Linked DNA regions of Drosophila melanogaster. The protein of the gene in region 1 interacts with the protein of each later gene in a pairwise test. Each region holds a gene or a part of one and is shown in the gene's direction. Other genes may lie near its edges. The genes, in order: CG14071 and SmD2.

The links.
Region 2: the proteins of CG14071 (region 1) and SmD2 interact in a two-hybrid assay, tested with the Drosophila melanogaster proteins (one large-scale study listed by BioGRID).

What each region holds. Positions count from the first base shown.
Region 1 is NT_033779.5:10,887,084-10,891,141, reverse strand, and holds CG14071 (uncharacterized protein), read left to right. Parts: upstream 1-2,214; 5' UTR 2,215-2,363; coding exon 2,364-2,774; 3' UTR 2,775-2,866; exon of another isoform or gene 2,867-2,873; intron 2,874-2,924; 3' UTR 2,925-3,497; downstream 3,498-4,058.
Region 2 is NT_033777.3:6,344,265-6,347,615, reverse strand, and holds SmD2 (small ribonucleoprotein particle protein SmD2), read left to right. Parts: upstream 1-1,704; 5' UTR 1,705-1,843; coding exon 1,844-1,845; intron 1,846-1,979; coding exon 1,980-2,337; 3' UTR 2,338-2,605; downstream 2,606-3,351. Other genes in the region: CG18048 (uncharacterized protein), read right to left, coding at 98-1,423; CG17919 (uncharacterized protein), read right to left, coding at 2,606-3,085.

The sequences.
Region 1 (4,058 bases):
ATAGTTAAGATTACTACTACTACGTTTTTATTAAGTCTGTCTTATGTTACGAGCTCCCATTTATTTTCTTAACAAAAAGTTTCCGCGTGAGCTCTTCAGCTTACTCGACGACTTCATCTCCTGGTTTCCGCTGCTGAGTATTAAGTATACGCCCCGAGCAACAATGATGATGCGCAGGTTTTTTGTATTTTAACTTTCAGCGAGGCAGCTGGGCGGCAAGTAAATATAACCTGTCCGGAGTCCGGACTCCACCCTTCCCCCTACTTACTATCATCCTTTACCGCAGGTAAACCACAAGAATACCAACCACCCAACCTCCCACCCACCAGACCCCCTAACACGTGGTCGGTCTCCTTGTGAGCGCACGTGTGTACATTTTTAATTATGCGAGAGCACACAGAGCGACGAGATGAAAACAGAGCAGCGTGAATGTCGGGCAACTAACTTATTAAAAAGCACTCGACCGGCAACGTATATATTTGCCAAATAAAGCGGAAATTAGGGCAAACTAGGTGCACGCATTCTAGCCCCCCCCCCCCCCATTTCCTTCATTTCCCAAGGACGAATATCCAAGCCTATCCTTCCGTTCGCAATTTTCAACTGACCACCTTGTGGCGCAAGCAAGAAGTGGAAGTTACTCAAGCTAAATTTTCCCGCAAGTGATTTGCATAACTGTAGGCAGATGCCAATGGCTGTTGCTCATCACATTGTTTGGCATTTTAAGGGGCGAGTTATAGAGAAATGTTCGGAGAAAACCCCATGAAATCCTTCAGTAAGCCGGCTTACTGACTGACTGAAGATAACCTAAAAGTGTGCAAAGCCTATTAAGCTGGCAAAGCCAAGAGCAAACGAATAAATGAAAAAATCCAAGTGGATAGAATTGTTTGTGAACTACTCGTAAAAATGTAACTTCCATAACTGAGTTGGAAATTGCTTAATTTGACGGGGCTGGTCCGAAAATCGAGTCTACCGAATATCATATACCGTGCAGGAGTTTAAAACGGAAAAGTCGAAGATGATCAGATATCAGATAGTAAAAATGGTAGCCATTTTTTAAATCATTGTGATATTGTTAACAATACTTTTAAGCAAAAAAACAAAGATATATTTATTAATATATATTTAATATGTATTTTCATTATTATAATTGGTACCAGTTTCGAATGCAAATTTGCATATTAATTATTAGTGTAGATGTAATTATAATTCATTGGTCTTGAATAAATACATGTGTAATATTTGTTTGCTAAATAAATGAAACAACATACCCCTCATACTACCTCACAATCAGAGCACAAAACTACGCACCATAAATCTTACGGCCAGTGGAAAGGGACTGGGAATTTGGGCAGGGCAAAAATTATTACATGCCTCATTTGGCAGCGCCTTGAAGAGTCTGCTTATTATATTTTGATTATTTTCGGCACGCGTGTTTCGCAGGACCTCAAAGCCAGGATCTCCGCGTCGAGAGCTGTAAACAAATTCGTGAAATACGCAGACTGGTCAAGGGGCGGATGTCGATTTGCAAGGACGAGGAGGATAAACAGGACAGCTGGGTTTTTTTTTTTTTTGTTTTTTGTTTCGGTTGCATAATTTTTCATTTTATTTTTGGACTCGTTTGGCCTGCTTTTGTCCATAATGAGATATCTCTATCCTCCTTTGTTTCTTTTCATCATTTTGTCCATTGTGTTTCGGTGCTTGTTGTTTTTGCATTTCGCGAAATGCCGCTGGGAAATTCTTGTAACCAACAAAAAAAAAGGAGCAAAAATCCACTGGGCTCAAATGGCAATGATGGCGTCGAGGTGGTCTTATTAATTAGGACACGCGCCCTGAGTTGTATATATTCCCAAATATTCTCCACTTCAAATATACACGTGAACCTCAAAAGGGACCGCTGTTATTGTTATTTAAATGCATGGCAAGATTCTCTTTCAGAAAGCTTCCCTTGATTGCCAAATTTTGATTAGCATATAAATGCAGAAGGGACAAAAAGAAACTATATCTTTGTGCCGTTAACTCGTGGAAAATTTTAAACTTCAACACATTCTTGTCCACTAAAAAGAGATAGTACGAAAAATAACTATTTGAATGATAGTTTACAATGCTTCTGCTATCATCTACTCGTAATGCATTTCGGCTTAAACAATTTTTGAATGTAATGATCTATTTCCTTTTTTAACTACAGTCTTTTTGTTTTTTCTCGAGTATTCAGTGGACGCCAGCAACACATATTTACCAATCATAAGTAGGTAGCTAGAAACTGTTCGGATTTAAGGAACAAATTTATTGCTAAGTTAAATCAAATACTGCTCCACGTAGAAAACCACAAACTCCTTTCAACGGCGTAACTACACTGTGCAGCAATGTCCAGATCGGCAAAGGGCTTTGGTCGTTTAATCAATCCGGGCGTGGTACTCCATCCGGAACTGCATCAAAAGATGGCCGACTTTGAGGCCATGACCATCGAGCGATCTGATTTGGATCACGAATTGAGCCGATTGCGCAAGCAGCAGGACGATACCGAGGATAATTTGGCAGAGGCGCTGGCCGAGGACGAGTTCCAGTGCAATTTGAGTGGCCAGCCATTCGTTGCTCCCAACGAGGACGAGCTGCAGGAAATTCTGAGGAATCACCTCGGTAGCATTATCAACAAGCTGGCTGCCACGTACGAGCGCCTTATTTACCTGGATGCGGACATCAGGAAGCTGAAGGGAGTCATTGAAAAGGCCATCACAGTGGCTAATGAGGAATCGGCAGCAGCCGCCTCAATGTGAAGATATGTATTTAACCATTACATACGTTGTACTTCTACATATGTGTATCTTGAAAATTTCAGTTCGATTTAATGTGCAAGTAAAGTTTGCAAGTATGTTAAATGATTCGAAATTGCAAGGGCTATGTAAACATGTATTTGTATTCTCCAGCTTTGCCATATGTACCCGTGTGCCGTCGATAATCAGTAAAATATGTGTTACTTTTGGATAATGAAGTCCACGTTCGATGCAACGCGAAATCCATTCACACATTCCGCTGGACATCTTAAATCATTTTGGGTGAAATTAAAGCCGCAACAATCTCATTTCCGGTAATTCTTTATGCACTCGCGCACAGACAATCCAATGCGAGCCAGAAGACACTGCAAATTTAATTGCGTATACGCAATGTTGCCACTGCCGTCGCGGAAACAGCATCCGCTGCGGCAGCAGCTACACTCTGCTGACTCTATCGTTAAGTGCATAAATTCAATAATGCCGAGCGTCTGGCGGTGTCAACGCGCTGCAAATATATAGACTCGCCGGATCGATAAAGCTGAAGCTTGAAAATTTATGGAATTTCCTGTGCATTGAAAATGGTCGCCATTTACTGAATATATTTAAGTAAACTACAGCTCAAAACAAAAATGCATATGTTATATATTGACTTTACATAAAACCCCAAAATGTTTAGAAACATAAGAAATTAATTCTACTTGGATAAAGTTAAACTTAAACAATTCTATACCAAACTGTAACTTTAATTGCCAAGGGGACCACAAAATGGTCTGCGCTTACATGTATAAGGATGCAATTGCATATTTGTTGTTACTTTGCTTTGGTTAAACATTAATAGTCGGAGAATTGAGAAGGAAGTCGAGGTATATTTGAAGAAAGCCAGACTTATGGGCCCTGTCCTGTACTCTAATTAATTAAATTGAAGCGTTCGACGACGAGGTAACAATTTCAATTTTATTCCCGTGCCAGCCAGACTGGTCAAACAAGCCAAATGCAAATTTCCCAACCAGACATGGGTCTTAACAAGAACATTTGCATGAAGTCAATCATCTCGACCATTCTGGCCAGTGAACCGAAAATAAGACACTTTGGGTCTGTACCGCTGTGACTCTGATTGCCTTTCATCCCAGTCAATTGGAAAATTCGCACTAACAAAGCATTTGTGAAGGTTCGAAAAATGTCGGATGTATTTCATATTTTTACTTAATTTTGATTCCTGTTTGTTAAAAGCACATTTTAAAACTCCCTCGTTGCGCTAATCGCTTTCCAGCCAATCTGGAAATGTTG
Region 2 (3,351 bases), on another chromosome or scaffold:
GATGGTGCGATCGTCACTAGTTTTTAGTAAATAATGAAAAATTTAAATCCAGGAGCAGGATATGAATTAAGGAAGGAGAAAAGTCATTTTACTTAAGTCAACAGCATTTATTTTGGTCCAGCTTAGGGCTGGTCGGTCTGGCCAGCAGAACCACGTTTTCCAAAGTCACATCCCTGGGAACATAGAACTTAAGTTCTGCTTGATATCCGTGGGATCGTAGATGCTCCAGTCGTCCATAATCCAGAACCCGCTTGCACTGTTGGCCAATTTGTTCGCGCTCCTGGCGAGTTAGACGCTGCGTGTTCGTCTCGGTGAGCTGAAAGTCAGCCGATTCCATGGCCTTACGCCGCTCTCGGCTTAAGCCCGTGCCACAAACTGCCCAACTGACCATTTTGGTTAGGATAACGAACTCCCGTGGTCCAATTCCAGCTTCCTGAAGAAACTTGCGTCCCACGTAGGAGCGCCAGGAGCAGCGATGATGACAACACAGGGCGATGAGAACGTAGTCCGAGCTGGCATTTCCATCACCGAGTATACATCTCAGGGTCAAGTCTGTAGCTGCTCCACAGAGGTGCTTCGAAAAAGCCACCGTTCGTTGGGTTTTCTTTAGCTCCGGCAGAGCAGAAAGCTTAAGATCAGCGATATCAGCACGGATACGTTGCACCACCTCCCTGTTGGCCAACTTGTTGTCCTTCTTGTGCCGCAGGGACATTCGATCGATGAGGACCACCTGTGAGTGACTCAACTTCTGTTCCTGCAATACGGTGGCCAAAAAGTAGGCCAATTGTCCCTTTCCGGCTCCGAATTCTATATAGCTCGTGTGATCCATCAACTGGTGATCGTGTTCCAGGATGCCCAGCAAGCTAGTGGTCTGGGTGAGCTGGCGTAGCGTTTCCTGGCCGTAGTCCTTGCGACTAAGTTCCTCCTTTAGGGATTCGTGCTCCAGCTGCAGTTCCTGTATGCTGGAATTGATGTGCTTGTCATACAGATTCTTAACTTTGTCGATCAGACTGTAGAACTCTTCATCCGCCAGTTCGTGCAGTTTTATTTGATTGAATTTGTTCAAATCTTCGTCTGTTTCCTTAAGATTGTCTCCAGAATTCACTCCTTTTACAATGTAGGGCAGTGAACTTTCCTGATCCCTGGCATTGCAAATGGTCAAGTGTTTGGCTAGTTTTCTTTTAAACACGGTATGTTTGTGATCAAGCGGGCAGGGAATACGTTCCTGGAAGGAATCTTCTCTAGCTTTTTCATCGCAAGTTGCAGTGGTGGCTGCCGATGAGGCATGGGCTCCACAAAACTCACTGCCCTTGTTTGCAGTCATCTTGCAGCGGCGCTTTTTGCGTAACACCCAGTAGGAGCAAGTGGTGGTTACCGGCTTCTCCGCCTTGACAGTGGTCATCGTCTCTTTCACAGGTTCCATTCGTTACTTTTATTTTCAAAATAAATTCCTCCCAATTCGGAACTCGTGCCAGGCAGTGTGACCAAGGCTGGCACACTAGATAACACTATTACCAACTTTTCACAAAAATGTTTTAACTATGGTCTTAAATATGTTTACACTTCTTACATTGAATATTTTAATAAGTTTTTTAATAAAAAACTCAAATTGAGCTTGATTTTTCAAAATAATAGTTTATTTAATTTACGCGAATGCCAAACGCCGATAGTTAGCTTTGAAATTCAGGGCTGGTCGAGTGCAAACGTCCTCAGAGCTGGTAACACTGCAAAAAAAACGAAGCCGCGCTGAATACTTTTGCCAACAATAAACGCAGAAAACCAACTGAGAAGCGAAACAAGAAGACTATCAACATCATTTAACAAGCCATAGTTATAATCCGCTATGTAAGTATCCCGGGGCAGATGGGACAAACCATCGGAAATGGCGTAACTGGCAGCGGCATGTGCGCCGGCATTTTGCATTGTTAGCACCACGCTCGAGTTGTGGGTGAAATACTAATGTACTGTGTTCTCTGCAGGGCTCTTGTGAAACCGAAATCGGAGCTGACCCCGGAGGAGCTGGCGCGGCAGGAGGAGGAGGAGTTTAACACCGGCCCGCTGTCCGTGCTCACGCAGTCCGTGAAGAACAACACCCAGGTGCTCATCAACTGCCGCAACAACAAGAAGCTGCTGGGCAGGGTAAAGGCCTTCGATCGGCACTGCAACATGGTACTGGAAAACGTGAAGGAGATGTGGACGGAGCTGCCGCGGACCGGTAAGGGCAAGAAGAAGGTGAAGCCCGTGAACAAGGATCGGTTCATATCGAAGATGTTCCTGCGAGGCGATTCTGTCATCCTGGTCCTAAGGAATCCCCTGGCCACGGCGGCCGGCAAGTAGTCTACCATAGCGATAGCGTACAGCAACCAATATCCATCAACTTCAGTTAATAAATCCGTAAATCAACCAAATAAGTTCTGTGGACCAAAATGTGCCATTAATTAAAAGTGTGAGCTATAATTTACGACGGAAAATATCCCATCCCAGTAACATATCCCATTATAAATTTGTATAACGAAAGTACAATCCGTAATCGCAATTTCTTATATTTTGATTAACATCTTTTAATCGATTTTTCCTAAAGTATCTGTTTAAGATTAAAACGGAATCAATTCTCCGAAAGTTGCTTGTGCAGTTTTGGAACATAGTCGTCGTACTGGGCTTGGTAGAAAGTTCCAGCAATGGGATTGCCCAACTCGTGATTGATGGCAAACTTGGCGGCACTGAATTTGGGGCGATCCTTGCGGGATCTCTTGCTCACGCGCTCCTCGTCGAACTCAAGTTTGCCGGACTGCTTGTACAGCAGGAAGACGTAGCGATGCAGACCCGTGCCCTGGGGCGGGCCGGAGCCAATGTACTCGGCGATGGGCTCACCACTTGCCAAGTCGTTGCCGGCGATGTTGGCCAGAATCCAGTGCTTGAACTCGCGGAACTTGGGCTCCGCTCGGCTGGGGGCATCGGGATCCGTCATAATGAGCGTGTAGAACTCCCCGGGCTGCGCGTCCCACTCCACGACTGGCTGATCCTTAACCTGGGTGGGCGTTAGCTCCACTCCATCCTTGGCCACCAGGTTGTTGCTGTACGTGACCTTGAATAGGAACGATTTCACAGTTATTTGCTTGATTTTTACATTGTTGCGATCTATCAGCTACTTTACTTTAAGTTAGCTACCTTCTGACCTTTGATCAGAAAGTTGTGACGAGATATTTATCTAGATTTCTATTAAGCTCGGGTGTTAAATGTTTGAAATATTTTAACCTGGTCTGCAAGCACGTAGTTGAGTACATACTATTCGGATCCAATTTATTAAGACAAAGATATCCTCTATATATTTGGATCTTTTTAGTGTGCTTT